Diceros bicornis minor: one gene and its partners. The protein of the gene in region 1 binds, or shares a complex with, the protein of each later gene. Links are inferred from orthologs where the notes say so. Each region holds a gene or a part of one and is shown in the gene's direction. Other genes may lie near its edges. The genes, in order: SNRPF, ARMC7, PPIL2 and SNW1.

Region 1 (7,146 bases):
TAATATTTCGATAAAGCCTGTCCAGAGATATCCTGCATGGCCAAGCAACTGGCTGTTTCTATGAAGGAGCAGTGGCCAGTTCAATAATGTAAAACCTAGTATTTGCTTCTCATTCCTCCCCGTCTTACCTTTTTGCTTCACTTTTACTGCCCTGGAATTGTGCCTGCCAATAAAGTACTGACATTTAAATTTTTCCTCCGGGTCCATTTTATAGGGAACATGGGCTTGACACCATGGGAGGAATTTCTTTCCGATCACAGTAATAGAAACAACTGTGCTTTTCCTGAATAATTACAAAAATATATTATGGAAACTGGATCATGTAACCAATCATTACTCTTTGCTAGGACTCTATAGAGTTTAGAGATAAATGCGCAGCCCCTCAGTAGCCAGTGCATAAGGCAATATGATGTAGATGTCTGTATTCTAATGTTATATCTGGTTCTATTACTTTCCCTTCATCCTTCACTACTTCATTATTTCCTTTTGTTGTTTTTTATAGGCCACTTCAATCACTTGTAGAATAAAGCAGAAGATAAAGAATGTAGCTTAATATGAGAAAAGCATTCAACTGAAAGAGGCTATTCTGGGTCTATCTCTAACTCAGGTATGACCATACTTTCATCATCTACAAAATTAGAGGTTTAGACGAGGTATCTCTAGCGTTCTGTCCTAAGTTTAAAATTCAGTGATTCATCAATGCCGACTCAAGAACTGGAGCACACTTAGCTCCTAACCACAACACCAGGTTTCCTATGAGGTCTGATTCTCTCTCTACAATGGTAGAAAGAGTATGCGCTTTGAATCACCAAAAAGACTCGGATTCTAATCTAGGTTTAGAGGCTGTATGATTGAGGAAATTAATATATTTGGGTCTTAATTTCTTCACTAGACAAAATACCACGTCTCTCAGGTTTGAGATAATGTAAAGCTCCTACCAGACAGAGGCACTCAAATCTTGCCTCACTCCCACCCCTTTAAATCTACTCTGGCCATAACTGATTCTGACCATAATCATAGAAAAATAAAATGTTGAGATTACGGGAATAAAGAAAATGAAAGGATGGGGCGGGCCCGGTGGCGCAAGTGGTTAAGTGCGCGCACTCCACTGCGGTGGTCTGGGGTTCGCCGGTTCAGGGTTCACTGGTTCGGATCCCGGCGCGCACCGACGCACCACTTGTTAAGCCATGCTGTGGCGGCGTCCCATATAAAGCGGAGGAAGACGGGCATGGATGTTAGCCCACGGTGGTCTTCCTCAGCAAAAAGAGGAGGATTGGCAGATGTTAGCTCAGGGCCGATCTTCATCACAAAAAAAAAAAAAAAGAAAAGAAAAGGAAGAGTTCATCAATTTCAAAAGTAACTTTCTAAACTTTATCCCCCTTCATCTTGCATTTATATTTGTACTTCTATATATTTGTTTATTTGTACTCTACTCAAACACATTTTGAGGAGAGGCAGTGTAAAGGAAAAAATCTCAGGCTTTGGAGACATTTCACCTTCTACACAGCCTTCAGCAAAAATATATAACCCCTCTGAATCTGTCTCCTCATCTCGAAAATGGGGCTAATAATGCCTACCTGGAAGTGCTGTAGGATTTAAATAAGGTAAATTACATGAAATATCCTGGCATAACATGGCAGGCACTAAATATGTATTGGTTCCCTTCTTCTCAAAAAGGTTTTCAAGTTCCATGAGGGCAGAGATCACATCCATTTTATGCACCTCAGTAAATATTTCTTGGTCATTTAATCAACTACTTTTTAGATGTTTGTTTATCACTGGAAGTTTTGGGTTATATGCTGCGCAGCAGTAGAAGGCCTTACCGAAGTGTTCACCCTAATTAATAATTAGGGACCATTTCCCCAGAATGTGCTCAAAATGTAATCTATCTCATCTTCAGAAAATATAAACCCTGTTACTTCCTCCATATTAGAACCAATTATTCTGACGGGTATTCTGTTGAGCCATAGGGTAACATGGCAATATATATTTTTAAAAGCCTTTAAAATAATAATGCCTTTAACCCAGGAATTATATTTCTAAGGATTTATTGTAAAGAATCAAAGATACACTCAAAGGCTCGTGTAAAAGTATGTTCAAAGCACATTGTCTATAATGGGGGAAATGAAAACAGTAGAATGATTAATAAATTATCACATATGCATAATATAGAATAAAAAATGCATAAGACATTAAACTCCATTTTAGAAGAATAATTATATGAGAATTTGCTCAATATAAAGTGAAGAAAAGCTTAAAAACTACATGTAAAATCTTGTAAAAAAAAAAGTGCATGTGTTACAATAAATAGTACACCAAAAAAGTTGACAGTTGTTTTCTTTGATTGGTGATACTAGTGATTTTTGTTTTAGAACTTTCTATATTTTCCAAATTCTCACAAAACGTATGTATGGCATTTATAATTAGAAAAATACCAATCACCTTATGCCCACTTTATTTTCGATAAGGTAAGATTAATATTTAACATGAAGACAAAAAACGACTTTAAACACAACTATCATTACGTAGATTATGGTAATATTTTGTTTCACTTCATTGAGAAAAGAGCTAAAAAAAAAAGTCAGACTTCTAAAATATCTATTGATCTTTCAAAAGGCAGCTTTATGAAGCAGAAAAAGCCAAGAGTTTTCAGGTTGAAACCTAGCTGTGTGGCCCTGAGCAAGTTACTTGCTGACCTGTTTCCTCATCTCTAAAATGGGACCATAACCACCAAATCACAGACTGAGTAGTAAGATTTCCATTATAATAATTGTGAAGGACCCTGGCACATAGTAGGAACTCCAAGTCTGTACAAAGGCTAAATATTCACTAAACGATCCTGAACCAAGGGAAAAACCTACTGAACTTTGGGGTAAATAATCCCAACTGCTTGGCATAAACTACTCTAAAAGAAAATTACTGTGGTTGTCACTGTTCTCCTACATTTACATGGACAATATTAAAATAACAGTTAATATCTACTGAGCCCTTACAGGCCAAGCACAGTCCCAATCTCTTTCACATTAATTATTTAAACCTTACAACCCTGTGGACAGTACTAGAGTTTTTAAAGCCACGTACAACTGAGGAAACAAAAGCCTTAGGGGGTTAAGAAACTGCCCAACACCATCTCCATGAGATGGACGGACGTTCTGAACTCAGGCTGCCTCCCAAGTCTTACCCACTACTCCATATGTCTCGACACGCAACATTTAAATCTCAGTTCCAAATTCATCTCCTTAGGGCCGCAAAAGCAAAAACAAAAAACTTACTACTCTGAGCGCGCTTCTCCGAGAACTGCATTTAGCATTTCAGATCAGAGTGAGCTCAAAGTCTGTACCGGGGGGGAAAAAGAAGTGCGATTCTGACAAACAGCGTTACATCAAAAGGGTCGATTGGTGAAAGAGCAAACATCCCCACGTCCTTAATTACATATGCACATAAAACGCCTGTACCGGGTCTCCGCTGGCGATGCAAAAGGAACAGAGCGACAGGGAAACCACCACACCATATTCTAGACTCAATTTGCCCTCATTCTGTACTTGACTTTCTTCGGTGCGTTTCACCTCTCTTAGTCTGGTCTGGCTTCTCTCACTTCCTTTAAAGTGGTTGAAATGAGCATTACAGAAGAGAGAACAGTCAGGTAGACGGGGACCGTGGCAGAGGAGCCCCCAAATTATACAACCCGTGGGAAAGTGAGGAAGAAACTCGAGAGCCCCAAGTGTGTAAAAGGGGCTCTTAAAGGTGTAAAGGGACAAAGGAAACCCCCCACTGGCTTAGGGCGCGCAATTACGTCCTCTCTATAGGGTACAGAGCATCTCTCGGAAGAATCCTCGAGGCAGGTGACCAGAGGAGAAGCCCGGGCCGACCTCACTGCCTCTGCAGCCTCGCAGACACGCTCCCGGCTGAGTTCAGCCGCCTTTGGTTTCCCACAGGCCAGCGCGCCCCCGGGAAGGCCCAAAAGCGCGCCTTACTACTCGTTGCCAAGAGACACTGCCCAGCCACCTCCTCCAATCAGCACGCATCTCTTTGCGTCCAATCACAGAAGGTAGAAGAGCTGAAGTCGGAGGTGAAAGGTCACACTGCTGTTCGGCGGCCATTTCTTTTGAAGCTCCCTGGTTCGGCTATTGCCGTAGTTGCTGCAGTCACAAGGGACGGACGACAGCTGGGTCGGCGGCGAGTGGCCTGCAGCATTTGCCGGTAGTCGTGATGGTAAGGAGGAAGAGAACGCACGGAGTCGCCGGAGAGAGAGAGAGGGCGGGCGACTAGCCTCGCCGGGCCTGGTGGCTGGTTCGCGCGTTTCCCATTCATCCGCGTGAGGCGCCGCGAACCCGGTCGCCAGCCCTTTTCTCCCTGCTCCGGGGGTCTGAGGCGCGCGCTCCTGCCAATGCCTTCCCCTCCCCGGGAGTGCCCCTGTCCCCTTCCGTCTTTTCTTCGTCTGCAGCTGAGCCTGAGATATCTTTACTGCCTGGGGCCACAGGGTCGGGGTAAAGATGAAGCGGTGTTTCACGTCCCGCTTATCACACTCCAAAATCGGTGTTCTTTCCAGGATGTTGGGGCTTCCAGCCCCGCAGCCCTCAGGAACCCAGAACCCAGGCTTTGGAGCGTTCATTTGTTCGTTTAGCAAATAGTTATTGAGCGCATGCAACCTGCCAGATACTGTTCTAGGCGCTGGGAATATAAGGTGAAAAGTGCTGAAGCGGGCCCTTCTCTAGGTTAACTCAGTCGCGTGTGAAAGACAGACGTTAATCACATAATAACAGAAATATGTAATTGCAAATAGTGTTAAGTACTAAGAAGGAAGCAACAAACAGGATGCTGTGAGGGGGCGCGATGGTATATTAGAAGAGTGGTCAGGGATGGCATCCCTGGGAGGAGGGATTTAACCTGAAACCTAAATGATATGAAATAGCCGCTAAAAGAGCAGGAGGGAAGGTGTACCAAGCACGGGAAACGGGAACATAGGCCCTAAGGCCGGAAAGAAAGCTTGACCAGTTGGAGAAATTGACAGAAAGCCACAGCCGCTTGCAAGAATGGTGGTTATGAGATAGGGTCGGATAAGATCTCTTCAGCCTTATTAGGAGGGCTGGATTCTACTCCAAATGTAATTGGAAGCCATGGAAGTATTTTAAGCAGAGACATATGAGTGATACAAATAATACTTGCCGGGTGGATAATAAGTTGGAGAAAGAAGAGAGTGAAAACTGGAGACCCATTAGGAGGTTATTGCAGTAGTCTACGTGTCTTTTGAGATCACTGTGAATATGCTTATGGTAGACGGGTTTAGTAACCAGGTTTCTGGTGCTTTTCTTTCTTTGGGCTGATGGGTGAGCAGAAGAGTGAGGGAAGGAAAAAGGTGAATTCACTGGGGACACTATTGGTTTGCTGAATAAACATTAAGTGATTGCCCATATGTAGGAGGCACTAAGTCAAGTTAAGACCCAGTCCTAGTTCCTAGAATTCAAGTGAAATTTTGTCAAGTGTAATCTGCCCCCTGCTTCCTTCTGTAGCCTCATATTTGGGACTCTGACAATACTGAATTGTTTGTATATCCCTGAGATCACCTTGTTGCTTCACTCTTACCTCCTTTTGCATAGGCAGCCTCTTCTGCCTAGAGCAGCCCTTTTTCCCTCTGGGAAATACCTCTCATCCTTTTAAAATAGAGGCATTACTTATTTCAGGCAACCTTTCCTTTTCTCTTAATCCTAGATTGGTTTGGTACCTTTGTAAATAGCACATCACCTCTTACTACATTGCAGTACATATAATTGTCTATTTGTATGTGTTTTGCCCCTCCCTCTCCCACTGTGAGCTTCTTGAAGACAGGCAGTGTCATCTGCATTTCTTTCTTTCTTTTTTTTTTTTTTTTACTGCCTTTATCTTTGTTTCTTTATAGCCTGGAACATTGAGTGATGCATAGTAGGCATTCAGTGTTTCTTAAGTGAATAATGAATACTTTTATACTTTTATAAGTTTTGATGTGTTGAAGGTGAAATTGTCTTACTGGGTATTTAAATTTCTCTGATGCTCTTCAACAAATAAAAGTGAAAATTATGTAGTAAAGTGAGAGGGTGTCAAGAGTTTGCTTCATTTTGATACCTTCAAATATTGGTGATTTGGTAGAGGAGGGTAGGTAGAGGAAGCCGATCTAAGGAAAAATAATCAATTGAGTCTTTTTTTTGTTCTTTGTGCAGAGTTTGCCCCTCAATCCCAAACCTTTCCTCAATGGATTAACAGGAAAGCCAGTAATGGTGAAACTTAAGTGGGGAATGGAGTACAAAGGCTACCTGGTATCTGTAGATGGCTATATGAACATGCAGGTAAGCTAAAGAGTTATAAGATCATTAAATGGTATTTATTTTGCTTCATCTTACACCTCAAAGGTTTAGTGTGACTTAGAGGAATACAATCAATTAAATTGACAAACATAAAGCCAAATTTAGGAATAAAGTCAAGGCCAAGGAAGATGTTATAACTGTGATATACTATGTATGAAACATGGTGTTAAACCAAAATTCAGCCGCAGATTTGGCTCCTAGTGGTTAAAATAAGAAGAGCTCAGGCAATTGATTCACAGTGCCATAAGGAAAACACACTAGTTTGTGGAAAAAGTAAAACATTTCCCAGGACTTAGCTCTGAAAGAAATTTTTCAAGTGAAATTCTTTTTTTTTTTTTTTTTTTAAAGATTTTATTTATTTTATTTTTTCCCCCCAAAGCCCCAGTGGATAGTTGTATGTCGTAGCTGCACATCCTTCTAGTTGCTGTATGTAGGACTCGGCCTCAGGATGAACGGAGAAGTGGTGCCTCGATGCGCACCCGGGATCCGAACCCCGGGCCCACCAGCATCGCAGCGCGCGCACTTAACCACCAAGCCACAGGGCCGGCCCAAAGTGAAGTTCTTAAGTCTTTTAATAAATGCTTATGGCACAACATCAGAGTAATTCCATAAAAGCATTTCTTGAGGAAGAAGACAGATCAGCCAAAGGATAAACTAGCTTCTGTAATTATTTCAGCCAGGTTTTTTTCTTTTTATTGTGGTAAAATATATATAACATAAAATTTACCACTTTAGCCATTTTCAAGTGTACATCTGTCATTAAGTACATTCATATTGTTGTGCATCCATCACTATTATCCATTTCCAG
Region 2 (7,937 bases), on another chromosome or scaffold:
GAGGAGCTGGGCTGGAGGGGCACCTTCCTTGTCTTCGGTGGGGTCTTTCTCCACTGCTGTGTCTCCGGGGCAATCATGAGGCCTGTGGCCACCAGCATGGCCCCTGAGACCAGAAAAGGCCTCCCTCCACCTTCCAAGACACCTGCGCCCGGCTGCCCGGCAGCGTGTAGCCGGGCCATACAGCGCCACCTGGCCTTCGACATCTTGCGGCACAACACAGGCTACCGTGTGTACACGCTAGGTGTCGTGTGGATGATCGTGGGTTTCCCGCTGCCGCATATCTTCCTGGTGCCATACGCCATACGGCATGGGGTGGACGAGCACCGGGCAGCCCTGCTCATCTCCATCATCGGCTTTAGCAACATCTTTCTACGGCCCATGGCTGGGCTGATGGCAGGCCGGCGGGACTTTGCTGGCCACCGCAAGTACCTGTTCAGCCTGGCAGCCCTGCTCAACGGGCTCACCAACCTGGTGTGCACAGTGTCGGCTGACTTCCGGGTGCTGGTGGGCTACTGCCTGGTGTACAGCGTGTCCATGAGTGGCATTGGTGCCCTCCTCTTCCAGGTCCTCATGGACATTGTCCCCATGGATCAGTTCTCCAGGGCCCTGGGCCTCTTCACTGTCCTGGAGAGCATCTCCATCCTCATCGCCCCACCACTGGCTGGTGAGGCCCTGGGAGGGAGGGCAGTTGGGTGTGCGTGGGTGTGGCCTGGGTGGGCAGGCTATGGGGGTGGGACAAAGGGAAACGGTCTGGATAGATTTGGGCCCCATCCAGCATCCCAGAGGTAGACTTGGAATTTCTGATTTTCCCAAGCACCCCAGGGGACTGGCTACTGCCTGTCCCCCAACTGGTGCTCAGGGTATGAACAGTTACAAATAAGGGTCTTTGGTACCAGACTTACCTGAGTCCTTCCTCCTCCTCTTTGTACCTATGTTTTCGTATCAGCAAAGTGGGGATGGTCATAGAATCTACCTGGTAGGCTTGCTGTGAGGACTGCAAGTTACACAGTAAAGAGCTTGGAGAGCCTGGCACACTGTGAGTGCTATGCAGGAGGAGGTTGGGGTGGGCCCAGTGCATGACTGAGCAGATACCCCAGACTCCACTGGCCCTTGTGTCCTTGGTTTCCTGCCACCAAGGGTGAGGGAGACATGCCCTTCAGTGTTCTTCCAGCCCGAGAACTCTTCCAGCCTGGGCCAGAGCAGGGTTAGTGTTTCCTCTCCTTTCATTCAACAAATTATCTATTGAGAGCCTACTAGGTCCCAGCCACAATTCCTAGTACTAGGGATACAGCAGAGACAAAAATAAAATCCCTGCTCTAGCAGAGCACAGTGTAGTGGTGAGGGGGCTAGTAGCCCCAGGCAGTGGCCTAACTTGCTGTCTGTCCCCCAGGGTTCTTCCTGGACATCTCTGACAACAACTTCAGCTATGTTTTCTACATGTCAAGCTTCTTCCTCATCTCAGGCGCCCTCTTCATGGGTGGTAGCTTCTGTGCCCTGCGGAAGAAAGAGAGGCAGGGCAGGCAGGCCGAGGGGGAAGGAGCCATCACGGAGGCTGCGCTGGAGCAGACCCTCACCGTGGAAGGCACAGATGGTTCCAAGAAGCAGGTGTACACTGAAATCATGTATGTGACCAGCCTCTGAGCCCTGGGATCACATGTGTGACCAGCATCTGAGCCCTGAGGTCAGTGAGTGACCACTGCCTCAGCCCAGGAATGGGATGTCCAGCTGCCTTGCCAGGAGCTGGGGTGAGAGCTGCCCCCAGGAAGCCTGAACCAAAGGCGATCCAGGCTTTGCACGTTGGGACTCAGCCAGGAGCTGGAACCTTGGAGGCTGGCCTCCGAAGACTCAGGGTTCCTTGCAACTAGCAGAATCCAGGAGCGGGTCCTCCTGAGTTTTATCCTTGGTACCAGAGTACCTGGGGCCCAGGAAGTTGGGGCTGAGCCCTGCTCCCGTCTGTCATGGCCAGGTCAGCTCAGCTGGCTGCCCACTACTGCTGCTACAGCTCAACACACTGGACCTCCTAGTCCAGCCCGGATGCCTCTGATGTGATCTCTTTGTCCTTCTCCGGCCTCCAGACAGTTCCAAAGAACTCACCCGTCCTCTGAGGCCCTTCTGTCCCCCTCTTCCCAAGCGACCCGGCCCTTGCCCTTAGAACTGCCTCCAGAACAGGTTGCTGTGCCCCACGTTGACTGGAACCTTGGGAAGAAGGGCCTTGTGAAAGAAGGAGTTGTGGCCTGCAGCGGTGGAGGGCCAGGCTAGGGTTTGGACAGATTAAATCTTTGGGTAGAGTGCCTGTCCTGGTGTCTGTGCAAAGAACTGGAGGAGAGCATTGGGTCCTAGAATCAGTGAAGTCTGAGAGGTCCCCCTGCACACTCAGCAAGGTCTGCTTCAGGGTCTCCCTCCCTCTGCCCCACCCTCTATCTTGGCTGGGAAGATTAGTGCCAGGGTTGGGGGAAGCTAGACATTTGACTGACCAGGGGAGGGGCAGGATTGCTGGGCAGGGCCCAAGGACCTCTGTGAAAATGGAGCTGCTTTTTGCAACAAAAGCCCTTCCACTCCCCTCTCCTGCCCTTCTCTTCTCCCTCCTATGTCAGAGGTGTCATCCCTGGGGTAAGTAGCTGGCTGGGACAGCTGTCAGTCCACCCCTGCTCCCTGTTGGCCTATGCATGTGGCCTGGAGGTCAGAACCACCCCCCCCACCCCACCCCCCCACCCCCGCCAACACACACACACTGTTTTTCCTGGTGCCCTTCCCTGAGCTCATCACCTGGGGGCTGGCTGTCATCAGCCCAGGCTTGTCCCAGCAGGGTACCAACAGAGGGAATAGAAAAACAGAGTTTGTTTGAATTACACACAAAAATGTTTTCTGCAGCAGGTTATATAAACCCTGTGAACTAATGAAGCTGGAAAACAGGCCTGGAGTAAGTTTCCCCCTCCCCCTTCAGTTCTCCCAGCTCAGCAAGGGCTGCACTCACCCAGAACCTTATTTGTTGATTCAAGCTCAGCCAGGCTCCAACAAGAAAACCTTATCAGGAGAATTGATTTTATTTTCATGACCCGGCTCCAACTGGGATGAGTAAGCATCCTTGGGGATGTCCTGTCTTCTCCAGGACCCTGTCATGAGTGCCCCCTTATGGCGAAAGATGGTAGTGCAGAGGTGAAGCAAAGGGCTCTGGGGTGGGATAGACCTCAGTTCATGTTTGGCTCTGCCACAATTTGCTCTAGGACTTTGGGCAAATTGTTCACCATCTCTGGGCTTTCAGAAAGGAGGAGGTTGGCCTGGATAAGCACAAGTCTCTTCCAGTTTGAAAAGTCTGACCCCCATTGCCTTCCTGCTCCCCACCCAGTCCTGCGCTTGGCCACCAGCCACAGCTTGTGCACTGGAGGGGGAATGCTGGGACACATTTTACCAGGTCTTGTCTCACCTATCTTAATTGAGTGGAAGAGGAAGGAGTTGGGGCTGGTGGGTAGGTGAATGCTTCCAGTGCTAGCAGCCATCTGGCTTTGAAATGTGCATCCTCTAATAGGCCCCTATCCTTAAAAAAAATTTCTTTTAAGGAAAAAAGATATCAGTGAACATTCAGCATAGGGGACTTTGAGCTCATCTGCCCTCGGGCAAGAGTGGCAATAATCTCTGGGCAGAATTCCTTCAACAAATATTTATTGGGCATCTACTGTGTGCTAGGGACTGGGCAGAGAGGAGTAAGACCTGGTTGCTGCCCTCAGCACAAAACCAGGGACTGAGAATTATTCCCCAAGGAGGGCCTCTGAGGCCTTGGCAAGGAACAAATAAGGGAGGATAGGGTGACCCATCTGATGCCAGAACCCACACTTAGCTGATTTCCCGGAAATCCCCTAGAGAGGGTCTGGAGCAGTTCCTGAGCAGCACAGGGTGGAGCTCACTGCCATCCTGTCCCCAAGCCCTGAGCTCCTGGTCCCCAGGCCTTCGCTGCTCTGTCCAGCCAAAGGCAGAGAAGCCCCCTGATACCTTGGGCTAAGATGTACTTCCCTAGGTCACATCAGTTCCCCAAAGAAGCTGAAGGGCCTGGCGAGGGGCCTGGGGCCACCACCCCCATGGAGCAGCCACAGTACCCAAGCACCCAGACTATGGTCATAACTCCTGCCCCAGGGGGCATGCATAGAGCAGGGGCTGACCACAGGGACCTAAGCCCACAGAGGTGGGGCCTGTGGAGGCTGGAGTGTGGCAGCCACTCTGCCCTCATGCCAGGCCCAGGAACAAAGGTACATGGGCCTTGCCCTCAAGAAGCTCACAGCCCAAGCCCCTTTAACCCCTACATTTTCAAGCATGGTTGGAGTGCAGCAGGGCCACCTCTCTCCCTGGTGCTCTATTCCCTGTGCCTACAGGGTCTCGGTCACACACCATCTTCCTGAGAGGCCCGAGAAAGAATTAGGCTGAAGGGCTTCAGCATTCAAGGCTGCACAACCCAGAAAGCCGCTAAAGCGGTGCATTTGGGTGAACTGAGGTTCCTACGGCCCGTTGGTGCTGCCCCAGCGCTCCCCGTCCACCTGGCTGACAAACCCAGTTCCGGAGACTTCTGGCCAGAGGTGGCGGACTCAGCTCGGGGCTGCGGAGCAGACGGTTTTTGCAAAAGCCGAGCAAGAGGTAGTGTCAAAGGACCCATCTTGGGGGCGCAGGGAGCCGAGCCCGCGTCCCTTGGTCGAGGAGGCTGAGCTGCGTCTTCTCCTCAGGTGCAAGGGGGTCTGGAGATGCTTCTGCCTCGACAGCCCCCCACATGTACACCCTCCGCCGCCTCTGAGCTCCCAAGGACCCTAGAGGTGCTCATCAATGCATACATAACTCTCCAACGCCCTTCGCCGCGACCCCGGCAGTAAGGCGAGAAGCGGAACGCGCACGCGCGCCGAGCTCAGCACAGGCCCCGCCCTTCGCCCGCTTCAGCCCGCCCCTTCCGCCCTCTGGAGCGGAGGTAAGCGTGCCTTCCACCGGAAGCCCGGAATCGAGCTGAAAATCAAGCCCAGCGGAGGAGTGCTGCGTACCGCGACTACCTCTTCCAGCGCACAGCGCAGTCCTTGTCTTTCACGCCGCAATTTAGATTTTTCACGCCCAACTCTTACAAGATCCTGAGGCCCCACCCCATCCTCCTCATCCCAATTCCACCTGCAAATTACTGCATAACCTGAACCCAGAAAAGGAAGATATTTCGCGCCCCGGTCCGCCCTTACCCTTATCGGTAGAGGCCCGGACAGGTTCTCTCCCGGCTTTTCCGGCCTCACCTCCCACACTCTCCTGCCTGTGCGCTGGAGGTCCTCCGCCTCCCCGACCATGGCCCAGAAGCCGAAGGTAGACCCCCACGTTGGGCGCCTGGGGTACCTGCAGGCGCTGGTCACGGAATTCCAGGAGACGGAGAGCCCAGGTGAGAGCGGCAGGATGGGGTCGGGACGGGGCGGGGGTCTGGCCGCGGCCGCCGCCCGGGACCTGGCTCCAGTTCTGCTTTTCCGCTGCAGACGCCAAGGAACAAGTCCTGGCCAACCTCGCCAATTTCGCCTATGATCCCAGCAATTACCAGTATCTGCGGCAGCTGCAGGTCCTTGATTTATTCCTCGATTCGCTGTCGGAGGAGAATGAGACCCTGGTGGAGTTTGCTATTGGTAAGGATGGGGCTGGGCCCCCAGATGCCTGATGGGCTGTGGTGAGGTAAGTGAGTGAGAAGTGAGTCGTTGGGAAAGGAATCTCTTAGGCAGTCCCTCAGCTGCCAAGGCAGACCTTCGCGATGTCTGTGCCGCCTCCGCGGTTCACGCATCGTCCAGGTCACAGCTAGCTTGAGTCAGGTCTGGAACTCACGCCCAGGACTCCCTCTGCCTGTCTGCCTTCCCTCCTGCTTAGAGATGAAGTCATAAAGGAGGGAATGGATTGAAGCCAGTTGGAGGGAAAAAAGTTTAAAAAGTGATCCTTCAAACATCTTTATTTTAATGTTTTACTATCAAGAACAGCAGAGGTAACTTGGAATGTGTAGCTTATGGTTCGTGTAGTTCTTATGGTCTAAGACCTGTTGAATTATTCACTGGACAGATATTTATTGGGCATGTACTGTATGAGCAAGGTACTGTTCTAAATGCTGGTGAGATGGTGAACAAGTTGGGCAAAGGTCTTTGCTCTCAAGGAGCTTCCATTCTAGTAGGGGAGACAGATGGTGAGCAAACAAAAAAAAAAAGCTGAGGCTCTGAAGGAAATAAACAGGGTGATGAGACAGAGCAGTCGGAGCTGGGGACTACTTCTGTTTGGGCCATCATGGGAAGGCATTTAGGGAAAACCCTACAGCAGGAGGAGCCAGAAGGCTGGAGTGGCAGGATTGTGGTGAGTGAAGCGGGGAGTGGTAGAAAATGAGGTTCGAGAGGTCATTGGCACCAGAGCTTACAGGGGCTTAGAGGTAGGCCATGGGAAAGAGTTTGAAATTTATTCTGAGGGCAAACAAAAATTCTTTTTTCAGCATGCATGTTTTAAAAATAACATTTCTCTACATAGTGAAAGGAATCTTATTCATGTAGGGAAAGAAACCTACCTTTAATAATTCCATTATTACCTAATACACAGTTATGTGAATTTCTCTAATAGTTCCCAAAAGGACATTTTGTTTGTTTGTGTAAGCCGGGATCCAATCTGGGATCCATGCATTTCATCTGGTTATATTCCTTAGATCTTTATCTCTCGCTCTTTTTAAATAAACTTTTATTTTAGAACAGTTTTAGGAAAATTGCAAAGATAATACAGAGAGTTCCTCTATGTGCCATACCCAGTTTCCCCTCTTATTAACATCTTAGTGTGGCACATTTGTTACAATTAATAAACCAATATTGATAAATTATTATTAACTCTACATTATTATTAACTCAAGTCCATACTTTATTCAGATTTCCTTAGTTTTTCCCTAATGTCCTTTTACTGTTCCAGGATCCCATTCATACTACATTACATTTAGTTGTCACGTCTCCTTAGGCTCCTCTGGGCTGTGTCGGTTTCTTAGACTTTTCCTTTTTTTTGATGACCTTGACAGTTTTGAGGAGTACTCGTCAGGAATTTTGTAGATTATCCCTCAATTGGGATTTGTCTGATGTTTTTCTCATGATCAGGCTGCATTATGGGTTTGGGGAGGGTGACCCAGGTAAAATGCCAGCCTCGTCGCATCATATCAAGAGTACATGCTGTCAATATGACTTATCACTGTTGATGATGACCTTGATCCCCTGGCTGAGGTAGTATTTGTCAGGTTTCTCCGCTGTAAATTACTCTCCCCACCCTTTCCATATTGTGTTCTTTGGAAGGAAGTCACTACGTAAATTATCTTATATCTCTTTTAATCATTAATAGACTTTTTTTATTTTTTATTTTTTATTTTTATTTTTATTTTTTTTATAATTTTATTTATTTTTTTTCCCCCCAAAGCCCCAGTAGACAGTTGCGTGTCATAGTTGCACATCCTTCCAGTTACCGTATGTGGGACACGGTCTCAGCATGGCCGGAGAAGGGGTGCGTCGGTGCGTGCCAGGGATCGAACCCAGGCCGCCAGCAGCGGAGCGCGCACACTTAACTGCTAAGCCACGGGGCCAGGCCAGACTCTTTTTTTAATATCACTAATTGTGGAAGGATCCAGGTTAGTTCTTCAGTTCTGCAAAATGTCCCACCTTCTGAATTGTCTGGTTGCCTCTCTTGGGCTTTATTTGGTTTGTTCCTCTATCCCCTTCCCGTTTATTTCCTGTAACCTAGAAATTAGATTGAAGGCCTTGGTAGAATCAAGCAACACTTTTTTTTTTTTTTTTTTTGCTGAATACATCATAGGTAAGTGTAATTTAAGTTTTTGAAAGACCATCCAGGTCTGCCCCTGTGTTTGTGATATCTGGGGCTAGAGTACAAATGGGCGTTGGCCTACCTTCTCTTCTCACACACGTGTGTGGACATCCCAG
Region 3 (7,288 bases), on another chromosome or scaffold:
TGCGTCCTGCCCCAGCCCTGGGCGAAAGGGGTGTCGCACTGCGTGAGTAGCAGGGTCCGAGGCGGGGGCGCGAGAAAAGCGGCTCTACTCGGCGGGACTGTGTGGAGGGGTGCAGCCCGGATCCGTGGGCCCTCTCCGGGCAGGGGACTCTGGAAAGGGGGGAAGTCTTTCCGTTCCACTGCTCCAATTTGGGCAGTCGGGCAGAGAATCTGTCAGGACAGAACTCAGAGGCCAACTTGGGTGTCAGGATGAAGGTGATGGGGCCCTGAGCCGGCAGAGGCGCGTCGTCCCGCAATGGGGCCACCCTTCTTGTCCCGGAGCTGCGAGCCGGCTGAGGGCGCAGGGTCGTTGGGCTGTACCCACCCCTGCTCCGGGCGCGAGTGGGCTTCGGCCTGCGGTGGAGCGGGCCTCTCTCCTTTGTGTGTATGCCCCCTCCCCCAATCAGCTCCCACTCTGGAGTTGGAGCTACTCCTCAGTCTGGGGTCTCACCACCGCAATCTGGAGCTGCTCGGGGAAAGTTCAGGTGCCCTGGGGTCCTGAGGACCCCGAGGACGGCAGCCCTGCTGAAATCCCCCTCCCTACCTTGATGTCCAGGACAGGGCCCTGAGCCCCACCCACCCATGGTTGAGCTTCCCGCCCTGCATGTATTGGGGGCTGTGGAGGTCCCCCCTGCTGGCTGCAGGTGCTCTGACGATGTTGCACTACTGTGCTCTGAGAAGCAGTGCAATGATATTGTCAAAGCATCTGGGACCAGCCTTGGGGACCTCCCTCCCCCATACTCCCCCTACCCCTCCCCAGGCCTGGTCTCTTGGGCTTGCAGGCCCTCCCCTCCCCCCTGCCCAGCTCACTCCCTTCTCCATGGAAACTTGAGATCCTAGCCAGGCCTGGGCCTCCGGGGTCAGAGGGCACCCTTCCCCCAATCAGAGGCCCCGCCCTACTGGGCCTGCGTTCCAGGTCTCAGATCCCCCACCCACCTCCGGAGGAGAAGCACTGGCAGGCCTGCCTGACACTCTTTCCCTGTTGCACTACTGTGGGCTGCTGGGAAGCAGTGCAATGATGAAAGGGCATCAGTCAGGCCCAGCCCCACCACAGCACTCAGGAGGAGGGAGTTTTGCAGCCTCACTCCACTTCCAGCAGTTAGGCGCAGGGGCGGAGCTGGGGTAGACCCTCCATCAGAGGATCAGGTGAGTGCAGAGCTGAGGGATCACCCCACAAGCGCTCCATCTGGGTCATGGTTGGACAGGTGCAGGGACAGAGACCGCAGATTTAGAAAAGCTCTGGTTTGAAGAGGATCTTTCCACAGCAGCTCCCCAGCTAAGACTGGGGGCTCCAGATTTGGTCAGGGCCTTGTTGCAAAATAGAGGCCCACTGCTTTGCATGGAGGGTCTGCCAGGGCCTGACTCAGACCCAGCTCAACCTTGACCATGTGGAGGTGAACTGGACCCAGCCCGCCTTCAAGGCTTGGGGAAGACCAGGCTCTGGAGGGAATGTTCTCCTGGGTTCTCAGCAGGAGCAGTACTATCTGGGGTGGGGGGTCGACTTGGGATACGAAGCCTGCAGGCGATGCCCACCAACCACGCCAGCTTGTTCTCTTACAGGGAGATCTGCTGCCCTGAGCCTGCAGGAGAACCTGTGAGGTACCTGACCTGCCCACCCTCACAGCTGGAGTTGGGAAGATTGGAGCTGAACTGCCAAGGAGCCTGGCCCCAGGCATGCTTGCAGGGCCACCTCCACCATCGAGACCTGACACAATGCGAAAAGTTTTTATGCGCCCAGTGACAGTCATTCAAGCCTGTCTCCTTAAGAGGAGGCCCAGGTCTCCAGATGGGCATTTGGGATTACCCCTCACCCCTGGCTGAGCACATCAAGACACCAGCTTCACCTCTACCTGGGTGGTGGAAGTCTTGGCATCCAAGGGGAGGAAGAGGGATAATGACACATGCTCCTTTCTGTCCTGGGCTTGACCCCTTGGGGTTCCTCCATCCCAAGGCCACTTGACTCAGGCCTGTCCTCCTTTCCCCTGGGCTCCAGGTGCCATGGCTGGAGGTGGCCACCCTTACTCCTGTGCAGATTCTGTACCCACTGGCTGGACATCCCCTTGCAGCTGTCTCCTGCCCTTGCTGGCAGAGGCGTGTTAACTCAGGGCCCTGCTCAAATGTTCCCTCCTAGGGGAAGCCTTTCCTGGGCTCCACATCATTCAATGTTCCTCCAGCAAAGCCTGTTAGATTGAAATATTCTCCCTGTGGCTGAAGACGTCATTAGACTGGGAGCTTCTGAGTGCAGGGACTATGTCATTTTTTCTTTCTCTTGGCAGTATCTGACACAGAGGAGGGGCCCAAAACACTTTTTTTTTTTTGCTGAGGAAGATTGACCCTGAGCTAACATCCGTGCCCACCTTCCTCTACTTTATATGGGATGCCGCCATAGCATGGCTTGATATGTGATGCGTCTGCACCTGGGCTCCGAACCTTCGAACCCTGGGCTGCCGAAGCGGAGCACGCGAACTTAACAGCTACACCACTGGGCCAGCCCCACCAAAACACTTTCTAAAAATACAAATAAACATACAAAGTGTGAAGTATTATTAGCATACCACGATAGGGGAGAGTTTAATCAAGAGTCTGCTTGACCCCTCAGAGGATGCTTGTCCTGCTTATAAAAAGGTACATACTAAATACGTTAAAGTCAAGTCTCATTTTGTAAGTCCCACAGGGTCAGGAAGCGGAATGGAGATTTGAACCCAGGTGTATCTAAGTCTACCTGCACCCCTAGACAAACACAAAGGCCAGGCCTTCTTTCTCCTTGGTTGTCCCCACCGTGCTCTCTGACCTCAAAGCAGGAAAAAGTGAGTGCCACCTCCTCTGTTGGGGAGAGCTGAGGCTAGCCGGCTGGTGGTTTGGCGGAGGGAAGTGAAAAATCTCCTTAGACTTCTCAGGAACACTCCATGTATCTCAGGGCTGATGGGGGGGTGGAGGGGACAGGAGCGAGCAGTCCAGGGTGCACCTCCTTCATTAGTGGCAGAGTGGGTGGTGGTGTCAGTGCTGACCAAGTAGGAGAGGGTGAAGAGAAGCAGGTTTTGGGGTTGGAGGGAAGGTTTTGGGGTGTGCCAATCTGGATGTGTTCAGCATGAACGCCCCAGAAACGTCCCTTTAGGACACTCAGATGTGGGTCTGGAGCTCAAGTGAGGTCTGAGCCTGAGACTCAGGTTAGGGTTAGTTAAGTCAGCTCTGGGTTGGGACCAAGAAGTAGGGAAGATTGATCAAGATGGTAGGGTGAAGACAGGACCTTTTGAAACGCATAAGGAGCCGCTGGAGACGCCAGTGAAGAGGCCACAGCGAGTATGGAGCAAAGAAGTGGTTATGAAGGGGAGGAGAGAGGGTAGAAGCTGGAGGGGGCCGGGGGGTTGATGCTGGGAAGTGAGTCAGGAGAGGAAGAGGGTAGAGTCCAGGGATAGAGGAGTTAGGGGCAGAGTGAAGTGCTTGGGGTGCTGTCTACACACGGTGAAGAGGGGAAGCAGCCAGAAGCGGAAGGGACTGGAGGCTGGCCGAGGGGTGAGGGCCTTAAAGAAGTTGGAAGAGTTGGGGTGCGGACCGTGTTCTTGGCGTGGCCGTTGGCCGGCCCTGATCAAAGCTCTGCCGGATCCTAGCGCGATAGGGCCTCCGCCGAGCGCAGCTGCGTTCGCCCCGTCGAAGGCGCGACAGCGCATGCCCAGAGAGGGGGCATTGTCACGTGCGGCCGTCTGGCAGGGAAGGGCCCCGCCCGCGATCTAGGGGGGATTGGCTGGAGCGGTTGATCGCAGAGGGGGCCGGCGGCGGTTGGATGGAGAGCTGGTACGTCTCCGCGGTCCCCGCCCGGACGGGCCCTCTCAGATGGAGGTCCTGGACGAGTTCGACAGCGAGATGCCCCCGAGCGTGACCTTCTGCCAGCGCATCTCCGAGGAGGACTTCGAGAGACAGGCGACGACCTACACCAAGCGCGCGCTGCGCCGCCTCTTCCGCAGCATCGACCGCAACCCGAAGCTGGCCGAGCGAGTGGTGCGCAAGGGCAAGCAGGCCGAGTGCGAGCGGCGCGGGCTCCTCTCCTTCCTCTGGGTGCGGGCCGGCGGGCGGGCTGCGGGGAGGGGGGACCAGGGGGCGGGTGCTGTCATCACTCCCGCTCCTGCCCTGTAGGGCGGAGATTGGGGGTGGGGGGGGCCGTCGGGCCTTCCTGGAGCTGCAGGGTAGGGTCTCCCAGAAGCCTGAGGCGGCCCAGCTTGGGGAGTGCAGCGGGCAGGCGTCTCACCCGTCTGGCGTCCTCCCGCTGCTGTCGCAGGGAAGTTCTGTGCTGTCCAGGGGGAGCTGAACTACTGCAACTGCGTGGGCGCCGGGGAGATACATCGGCGCCTGGAGCAGCTGAGGAGGAGCATCTACCGCGCGCACCTCTACTCCCAGGGTGAGGCCCACCCTGTGTCTGGCTCCAGCAACCCAGCAAACCTGACTCAGGGCCCCTTGTCCCTGGTCCTGTGGTTGGCACTTTTTTCTAAATTTGGTGTTTATTTTAAAAGTCTATTATGAAAATGAACATACACAAAACTAGAGACTGCAGTAAACACGCGAGTACCCTTCACCCAGCATCAGCGGCTGTCCCCATCTCACCGTGCTTGTTTCATTCTCTAGATCCCCTTTTTCTTTTTCTGGAGCATTTTAAGGGAAATCTCAGACATCATTGTATTCCTGAATACTTTATTTATTTATAATTTTATTTATGTATTTATTTTTCCCCCAAAGCCCCAGTAGATAGTTGTATGTCATAGCTGCACATCCTTCTAGTTGCTCTATGTGGGACGCCGCCTCAGCGTGGCTGGAGAAGCGGTGCGTTGGTCCGCCCCCGGGATCCCAACCTGGGCCGCCAGCAGCGGAGGGCACGCACTTAATTGCTAAGCCACAGGGCCGGCCCTCCTGAATACTTTAGAATGCTTCTTAATAAAAAAAAGACAGTTTCTGACATAAATCACGATATTACTGCTGATATAATTGACAACAATTCCCTAATATTAGCTGATACTTACTTAGTCCATAGTCAGAACTCCTGGATGGTCCACAAAAATCTTTCTACACTTGGTCTGTCGTGTCAGGACCCAACAAGGCCCACATGCTGTGTTCATGTTAGGCCTCTTAGGTTCTTTCTCACTAGGGTGACCATATAATTTGTGTCCACATCGGGGCACTTGTAAGAGTGAAATGCAAGGGGGCCATGTTAGTGACCACACAGGGATGGCAAACAAGGATCTGTGGCCAGGTCTGTGGAAGTCCCTTTGAAGTGAGATACCCTTACTTTCCCTCTCATGCCACTGACTCAAAGATCTGTGTTGTCCTTCGGGGTATCCCACTTCATGGGTTTAGATCTGCTGTCATAGTCCACTGGTGGTGTTTGCTTTGCTCCCCTCTGCCTGTATTTCTCAGACAGTGGCTCTGAAGCCTTGATCTGATTCAGGTTCAGTGATAGACCACAGCAGTCCTGGGGCTACTTTCTTCTCCATCCCATTGGGAGGCCCAGCTTACTTGGGGGTCCCCCTTTCTGTGATGCTGGGTGTGAGTGCTCCACGTCACCATTTCATCTGACGGCTGGTCCTACAGCACACGTAGCTCTTACCCGAGGTAGCATTAGTGTTATTTATCCTTGTTTTGTAGAAGAGGAAATAGAGGCCCAGGGAGGTTGGCCAACGTGCAAGGTCACATAGTAAGTAGGAGAGTCTGGACTTGAACTCAGGTCTGGGTGCTCCAAGGCGCAGTCTCTTAGGCCAGTGCTCCCTGGTGGTGGTGATTGTCACTCTAGGTGAGCCACTCTGATGGGCTGTATGAGGAGCTTGTTAACACCCACTTTGCTGGTAGTCTCCAACTTTGAACAGTAGAAATAGCCAGACTCGTCAAATCCAGGAGGGAGACCTAACACGGAGGGAAGAGAGGGGGCTCACTCAAGAGTTCTGCCCCTCAAAGATTCCCTCCCTGAGCCCACCTCTGCAAGACCTAGTTCATGTGGGTTTCCTAATAGAGGAAGGGCCCTTTGCACACCCCCAGGATGGCCCTGGGGCTGGGTGTAGTCAGTGCGCTCTCTGTCTAGGGCCTGGATGCTCCATGAGGGTGCTGGCAGACTCAGGAGCTTTCCGTGATGCTTGGGGGGTTGGGTAGCAGACCAACCTGCCTGGGCCAAGCCCAGCCCTCGATGGCTGTGACACTCTGTCACTTCCTATGAAATTCTGGCCTTGAAGTCAGACAGCCCAGGCATGGATCCTGTGTGTGTCTTGTACAGTTAGAGCTTCCGGTCCCGCTTGTAAGATAGAAACAAAAGTACCCTTTCCCCGTGGGATAGTTGTGGGCTCGGTGAGGTGATGCTTGTTGGCGCCCATCGACAGCGGCTCCAAGCATTGTTATGTGGTGCCCTTTGGCGGGGGCCTACCTCTCTTCCTTGTTGGAGGGACTGTGTGAAGACCCCACACCACTGTGTTTGGCCCGCACTCTATCCTATTCTGGCCATGGAGTAGGCACTCATTGGCACCTTTTGTCACAGATGCCAAGAAGAGGAGGAAGCGGAAGTTGAAAAAACCAGAACCCATTCTCTTGAGGCACCGGTCAACCTCCCTGTGTCTGCCACCAACCCTGGTGCCACCTCTGCCACTGCCACCACCTGCCACCACCATGGCCTCCGAGGTGGCTCCATCGCCTTCTGTCTGCACTATGCCCAGGGTTTTTGGTCCTTACAATCCGCTGCCCTGCAGGTTGGTCAGTGGGCACATCCCCCACTCTGTGCGGCCCTGGGAGGGACCGCCTCTGCCCTCTGCTCAGAACCACCCCAGCAGCTCTCCCACACCCACAACAGTGGCTCTCAGAACTTTGTTTTAAGCAGGAGAACGCTCTGCAGGGTTGAGTCTTGAGTGGAACTGCACCAGATAAAGCAGATAGGAGGGGGCTGCTCTGGTTGGAGAATTGGGGTGGGGTTGAAGGCACAGCTCCACCTGCTTGGCCTCAGCCGAGCAAGGTAGCCCCAAGCGTACCGGGCAGAATCCTGGGGCTCCCAACATACAGGTAGAGAACCATGCCCCCCATGTCTCCAGTCCCACACCCTTAGCCCCACACCCACCTCTCCCTGTGGATGTCATTCTCCATGCCACCTCTAAGTGCCTCCCTAATGCCCTTCCGAACCACCTGCCCCTCCTGACTCCTGCTTATTCTACACTCTCACTGCAGGCAGCGCCCCAGCCCCCAGGCTGGGTTAGGACCTCTTCGGTCAGCTCCCAGCTCCCATCCCGTCC
Region 4 (6,944 bases), on another chromosome or scaffold:
CCTCTTTTTGCTTGAGGAAGATGGTCCCGGGGCTAACATCTGTGCCAGTCTTCCTCTACTTTGTATACGGGACACTGCCACAGCATGGCTTGATGAGCGGCATGTAGGTCCATGCCCGGTATCCAAACTTGCAAACCCCGAGCTGCTGAAGCAGAGTGCGCAAACTTAACCACTATACCTTCGGGCCAGCCCCTAAATTTTATTTTTTTGAATTGTCATACAGTAAAACTGACTTTTTTGGTGTACAGTTCTATAAATTTTAACACATGTATAGATGCATGTAATCATCATCACAATCAGGATGCAGAACAATTCCATCACCCCAAAAAATTTCCTTACGGTGGTCAATTACTTCCTCCACCCCAATCCCTGGCAACACTGATCTGTTCTCTGTCGCTATAGATTTATCTTTTCAAGAATGTCATAAATGAAATCACATAATATGTAATCTTTTGAGACTGGCTTCTTTCACTCAGCTTGATGCCTTTGAGATTTGTCTAAGTTGTTGTGTTTATCAATAGTTCATGGAATAGCAAATTTTTAAACCTCTAGAAGTTGAAAAAGTAGACAAAAGTACCAAGAATCAAAGGATCTTGATACTTGAAAGGATCTTTTATATTATCCGGGCCCATTCTGTCCTTTTATAGACAAGGAATCTGAAATCCAGTGAGGGTTGAGGACTTACCAAAATCGTGCAGGCAAAGGTGATAGGGATACAATGGTGAGAGAGATTCAATCTTCCTTGCAGTCATGTAAACCATCAAAATCTACAAAGTGTGATAAATGTTAAGAATGCGGGAAGAACAAGTCTTATGGGAGCACAGAAAATAAACACTGTATAAATTCCTTTCCATTGCAAATGATAGAGAATCAACTCAAACTAGCTTAAGCCAACAAAATCATTTATTGGCTCACTTAATTAAAAAAGATTCAAGGTGGTGTGGTCTTCGGGCACTGCTGGACCCAGGAACTCCCATAATATTGTCAGAGATCTCAACATCTGTCAATCTCTTACTCTCCTTCTCTTCACCCTTCTGGTTTCTCTTTCTTTTTGCATGGTGGCTTTATTCTTCCCTGTTACAGGCTCTTGCTATAATGCCAGGAAAGATAGATACTGGTAACTCAAGCCTACAAACGTACAGCTTCTGATCCAAAAGAGAGACTGATGCTTTCTCTCCTGGTTGCATTGATCAAACCTCTGGCCATTCCTTCTCAGTCTCCTTTCCCGGTTCCTCCTCATCTCCCCAACCTCTATACACTGGAGTTCATTCTAGAAGCCTGTCCTTGGACCACTTCTCTTCTGTACCTACACTCGCTTTTCCTGGGTAATCTCATCTGGTACCATGAATTTAAATACCATCTGCCTCCAAAGGTCTCCAGCCCAGAACTTCCCCCCACACTTCAAACTTACATATAAACTGCCTACTTGACATATTTATTTGGCCATCTAATAAGTATTTCAAATGTAACATGTTCAAAACCAAATTCCTGATGTTTCCCCACAAACATGACACTCTTGCAGTGTTCCCATCTCAGTAAATGGCAACTCTATCCTTCTAACTGCTCAGGGAAAAACCTTGGAGTCATCCTTGATTACTCTCCTCCATACTTCACATCAACACCATCATCAAAATTTGTTGGTTATACCTTCAAAACAGATCCAGATTCCAATCTCTTCTTACCATCTCTACCACTAACTCCCTGCCTAAGCTATCAGCATCTCTCCCCTAAATTATTGCAAAAGCCACCCAACTGGTCTCCCCATTTCCTCCCTTGCTTCTTGGAGTCCATTTTTAACAAAGCACGCATAATGACCTTCTTAAAATATAAGTCAGATCTTGTGTCTTCTCTGCTCAAAATCTCCAACATAATCTCTATATACTGCAAAGGAGTGATCTCCAAGGTATTTTAATAAGTAGAAAAAAGCAAGGTGGAGAAAAGTGTGTATGGTATCTACCATTTATCTAAAAAAGAAAGAGAAGTATACAAATATATATGTATTTGTGTATACTTTTAAATGTAAGGATAAACCATAAAAAATATTTTTTTAAAGGTTATCTACAGGGAAAGGAAGGAAAAGGATGGAAGAGACAAGGTAAGAATGTAGACTTCTCTAAATGCACTACCTGTTTGGTAAATTTTGGCTTTGAAACCACGTAACTGTTTCACAAAACTATTTTTTTTAAAAAAGCAACCACTAAAAATCCAAAACAAAATGAAATAAATAAACTAACTGGGTATCAAGTTAGCCGCACAATCACACACAGAGGAATTATTCTAAGTCACTTTAAAGCAATGTAATTTGGGCCAGCCCCATGGCTTAGCGGTTAAGTGCGCGCGCTCCGCTGCTGGCGGCCCAGGTTCGGATCCCGGGCGCGCACTGAGGCACCGCTTCTCCGGCCATGCTGAGGCCGCGTCCCACATACAGCAACTAGAAGGATATGCAGCTATGACATACAACTATCTACTGGGGCTTTGGGGGAAAAAATAAATAAATAAATAAAATTATAAAGCGATGTAATTTGACTATATATGCCTAGAGAGAGATACCCTAATGACAAAAAGAATTGAAAAAAAAAATCAGAAACTATTACCACTAAGCATATGTTTAGTAACCATATTAGTAATGTTATTCTGAATACTATTTTATATATAGTAGAATAAAGCAAATGAGTAATTATGTTAATACCATTAGACCAGATTTTCAGAAGAGAAATGCATATAAAATCAAACTTAAGTAAAATCTGTGTAATCCTAAATTTGTATTGAATATATTAGTATGAATGAATGATGCATTTTCTCAAAAAATATGTTTATGTGAATTTTTTAGCTCTATCCACTGAAAAGGCAAACAATAATCAACTCAGTTACAATGAACATTCGTAGCATCCAGATTGTTTTCTCTAAATATCACTTTCCCACTTAAAAGAGGGCTCCTTGGAGAAATGGTTGATTCCAGGTCTGAGGCAGAAAAAGTACTAGATGAGCCTAGAACATCTTGTCACACCAGAAATCAAATGATCCTGGGTCGGGGGTGCTTCTGCTGCTCAAACAAGTGTTTGGCTTGGGAATATTCAAAGAGCTGTACACTTAGAATGTATGCACCTTTCTATATGTGTGCTATACTGCAATTAAAAGTTTGTTTCTACTCTTTATCAGGGAAAATTTCAAACATATACAAAAGTAGAGAGAATAGTATAATGAACATCCATTTCTCCATTATCCAGTTTCAACAATGATCAAAACTCATGGCTATTTTCATTTCATCTGTACTCCTCCCACTTCCCTCTCTCCAATATTTTGAAGCAGATTTCATTTATCCTATCACTTCATCAAAGATTATGTTTAATCCATAATCTATGTAAAACACATAATCAATCTAAAACACATACACATAAAAACATACATACATAATACACATGAGGAGTGTTCTACTAAAGGCTACTTACTAAGGGTCACACAATACCTCCCCAGGAGAGTGTTTTGGGGGATAGGTAAGGGGGTAGGGGATAGCGTTTAAAGAAAAGTTTTGAGTGTGAATGTTTTCAGAGCGTCCAAGAATTAATTCTCCATTCGCCAGTCTCACGATTTCCTATTGTTTTAAAACCCTGTCACCCTTTTATATAACGTTGCCGTCCCGGGAAGGCTCTTGTATTTGAGACTCCTACAAGGAGAACGAGACTGAGTGGGAAATAAAATAAAGCGGCTTAAAAAGCATCTCAACTTCTTTATTTTGCCTAGGGAACGCCCTCTCATGTCACAGTGTACGAGCGATGCATTTGCTTTTCTTAACCGAAGCGCTTATGCCTTTATAACCGCTCGGTCTCGTTAGATGAGAACCGAATAGGTCTCTTGTTCAAAGAACTACAAATCCCAGAAGGCCCTCGTCTACGGCGCCTGCGCGTTGCGCGCGCCTTCCTTTCCCCTCCTTGTCGCCGGGAAAGACCCGCCCCGCGGTGCTGTCGCTCGCGCTGGAAGAAGCGGAAGAAGATGGCGCTCACCAGGTGGGTTGTTGATTCGGGTCCTCGATACGGAAGGGTCTGGGAGTACCCACCTTTTTCTTTTCTCTGCCCACACTCTCCGGGCGGTGACCCGGCCTGGGGCACAGAGCAGCGTTGGCCGAGATCACGGCTAGGCCCTCCCGCCGGCCGCCGGGGCGACTAGGCCTCGCCGAAGCTGGGGTCTTTCCTGAGCGGCTTCCCGGGTTGAGTTCGCCCCCTCGATGGGGCCGAAAGCCGCGGCGTGGCGAAGAGTTCTGTGGCCTCAGGTGCCGAGGAGTCCCACGTGTTTTTGGCTTAAGCATCTTGGGGGTGTGGAGAGCGCTCCCTCGGGTCCGCGGCTCGGGTGGGCGCGATGGGGTATGGAGGGCAGTGGCTTGTTTGTCTGGGCGGAGTGAAGCGGTCTTCCGGCCGTTTGTCTGCCGAAGTCTCTCTCCCGTCTCTGTCCCGAAACAAGATTTCCTGAAAAAAAAGGGGGCCTGGCACTGAACAGAGATTTTCAAGTAGCCACAGTAGTGGCCGCTGTCCACTAATTCGCGCCGCTGCTCCGCACTTCAACTTTGAACCTTAGAATTTCTTCCGTAGGTAGAAACACTTCAGATTTTTGCTGTTCCCGGTTGCCTCGGTAACTGCATGTAAAGTGGTCCCTGCCTTTGAGAAAAAGTTGCCTAACTGGGAGATTCCAAGAAGTTACGTAACTTGCACTAGTCCGCGACCTAGCTGCCCCATCTAAGTAGAAAAACTTTCCATGGGAACGCAGCAGGAAAAGTTGTGTGTCAAAGAGGGTTATAAAGAAAGGAATCATTTTAGGACATCCGCTTGAGCTCCCTAAACACATCTCATTCTCCTCACATGTACGTTTCCTGGTTGACGACAGTTGTGAATCCTAAAAATGTTTTAATCAGAAAATTCTTTTGGGAATTACTTTTGAGTGCCTTGCGCTATCCCAGGGCTTGTGTGTATGCAAAAGGAAATCTGACAGTCTTTGGCTGCAGGGAAGATGTGGTAACAAGGCATACAGATATGAAACAAAGAACAACACAAAATGCTTATTTGTGTAGTACTAACTTACGTGCAAAAAGAAATAGATGAAGTGAGCTGAATGAACTGGAGAGTTTCCATTAGTAAATGTTACAGGCAGCAAACGTTTGAGTGCTCTCCAGGTGGGAGGCACAGTGACAAAGATTAGTAGGGTTATGAGGAAAGGTTTTGTGGAAAAGGTGGAATTTGAGAAAGACACACAGGAAAAATACCAGAGATGTTGTGGGTACTGTGTGCTTAAAATTACAGTGGCAGAGTGCAATCTTTAAATGGCTAGTCTAGGGGACTACATAGCTTTCTGATTTTGTTGAGTTAGTTCTGACTGATCTGGTTTTTAGAGATGGTCTCAAGTTTCCAGGTGAAGTGTTGTTATCTCCAAGATTTACCAGGGATTCTTAACAGCAGGGACTTGACATACTGATGTGTTGCAGTCTTGGTGTCACCCGTGATTGTTACTAACTAAAGATTTAAGGTCATACTGAGGGGCCAGCCCAGTGACGTAGTGGTTAAGTTCGCACATTCTGCTTAGGCAGCCCTGGGTTCACCAGTTCAGATCCTGGGCGTGGGACCTACTCACTGCTCATCAAGCCATGCTGAGGCAGCTTCCCACGTAGAAGAACTAGAAGGACCTACAACTAGGATATACAACTATGTACGGGGACTTTGAGGAGAAAAAAGAAAAAGAGGAAGATTGGCAACAGATGTTAGCTCAGGGCCAATCTTCCTCAAAAAAAAAAATAAAGTCATACTGAGATGGTAATTAGTCTTTAGGTGATGGACATGATGTAATCTACACAGAAATTGAAATATAATGATATATACCTGAAATTTATATAATGTTATATACGAGTGTTACCTCAATTTAAATAAAGTCATATTGATTTAATTTTCTAAATTCAAGTGTTTTTAAGGTTATGTATCTAATAATATCGCTTGCATTTAATATACTTTCTTTAGTAAAGGGGAAAGGGTAGACCAAAATGTCTTAACAGTGGCACTATTGACGTTTTGGAGTGGATAGTTCATTCTTGCATGGGGCTGTCCTGTGCGTGGTGAGATGTTTGGCAGCATCTTTGGCCTCTACCCACTAGATACCACTGGCATCATCACCCTCGTCCCGCCCCTTACCCCCAAGTCCTGACCATCAGAATGTCTCCAGATATTGTCAAATAGCTGCATTGTAGATATTTTGCCCCCAGTTGAGAACCACTCGGGTAGACTTTCTCCTTACATTCGCAGCCCCCTATGTACCCCCCTTCCCCAGGAGTGTGCCTCTTTGTGGGAATGTCATCCTTTACAGGGAACAACAAAGTTAAGACCCTCTGGAAAACTTAAGTATATTCTGACCTCAATCCAGGCCAGGTTACCTGTTTACTGGATTGTCCAAACTGTTTGCTTTGGCAGGCTGCTTGCCTTTTCATCATTTTAGTGACCAGTTCTTCCAACAGAGGGTAAAGAAAAGAAAAGAAAAATGAAATAGAAGTAAATATTTTAGCTTCTTTGTAACTGTCTTTGTCTCTGTCCTGTGTATTGGGTATATATGGTTTACTGAAAACAACTACGGTAAAAGCCCAAAACTTTTGACTCCGTTCATCCATCCATTCCTTCATTCTGTTAGTAAATATTTGTTGAAGGTCTACTGTGTGCCTGGCACTCTTCTATTGATGGTTTTACAGTATTGAATCAGCCAGGCAAACTCCTTATCCTCACAGAGCTTACGTTCTAGGAGAGACAGACTATATATGAGTAAACAAATCAATAATGCAATCCTAGGTAGTGAATAGTAGGAGTTAAAGATGAAGGGATAGAGAGTGACTGAAAGCGTGGGATGGAGTGCTGTTTTGGACAAGGTGGACAGAAATCTGCTCTAGGGAGGTATAATTGAGCAGAGACATGAATGCTAAG

Evidence for each region.
Region 2: SNRPF (region 1) and ARMC7 share a complex: the UniProt entries of both Homo sapiens proteins name them as parts of the minor spliceosome. The link is inferred for Diceros bicornis minor from reciprocal best matches to the Homo sapiens genes SNRPF and ARMC7.
Region 3: SNRPF (region 1) and PPIL2 share a complex: the UniProt entries of both Homo sapiens proteins name them as parts of the minor spliceosome. The link is inferred for Diceros bicornis minor from reciprocal best matches to the Homo sapiens genes SNRPF and PPIL2.
Region 4: SNRPF (region 1) and SNW1 share a complex: the UniProt entries of both Homo sapiens proteins name them as parts of the minor spliceosome. The link is inferred for Diceros bicornis minor from reciprocal best matches to the Homo sapiens genes SNRPF and SNW1.

What each region holds. Positions count from the first base shown.
Region 1 is NC_080764.1:26,526,251-26,533,396, reverse strand, and holds the start of SNRPF (small nuclear ribonucleoprotein F), read left to right. Parts: upstream 1-4,131; 5' UTR 4,132-4,209; coding exon 4,210-4,212; intron 4,213-6,194; coding exon 6,195-6,320; intron 6,321-7,146. UniProt on the Homo sapiens protein: Plays a role in pre-mRNA splicing as a core component of the spliceosomal U1, U2, U4 and U5 small nuclear ribonucleoproteins (snRNPs), the building blocks of the spliceosome.
Region 2 is NC_080757.1:55,646,410-55,654,346, forward strand, and holds the start of ARMC7 (armadillo repeat-containing protein 7), read left to right. Parts: upstream 1-4,930; 5' UTR 4,931-5,301; coding exon 5,302-5,392; intron 5,393-5,483; coding exon 5,484-5,627; coding exon of another isoform or gene 5,628-5,659; exon of another isoform or gene 5,660-5,673; intron 5,674-7,937. Other genes in the region: SLC16A5 (monocarboxylate transporter 6), read left to right, coding at 1-664, 1,391-1,641. UniProt on the Homo sapiens protein: As a component of the minor spliceosome, involved in the splicing of U12-type introns in pre-mRNAs.
Region 3 is NC_080774.1:30,150,988-30,158,275, forward strand, and holds the start of PPIL2 (RING-type E3 ubiquitin-protein ligase PPIL2), read left to right. Parts: upstream 1-4,279; 5' UTR 4,280-4,431; intron 4,432-6,546; 5' UTR 6,547-6,674; coding exon 6,675-6,758; intron 6,759-7,288. UniProt on the Homo sapiens protein: Has a ubiquitin-protein ligase activity acting as an E3 ubiquitin protein ligase or as an ubiquitin-ubiquitin ligase promoting elongation of ubiquitin chains on substrates.
Region 4 is NC_080763.1:25,536,570-25,543,513, reverse strand, and holds the start of SNW1 (SNW domain-containing protein 1), read left to right. Parts: upstream 1-3,933; 5' UTR 3,934-3,990; coding exon 3,991-4,004; intron 4,005-4,054; coding exon of another isoform or gene 4,055-4,303; exon of another isoform or gene 4,304-4,597; intron 4,598-6,944. Other genes in the region: ADCK1 (aarF domain-containing protein kinase 1), read right to left, coding at 686-767, 4,055-4,303. UniProt on the Homo sapiens protein: Involved in pre-mRNA splicing as component of the spliceosome. As a component of the minor spliceosome, involved in the splicing of U12-type introns in pre-mRNAs.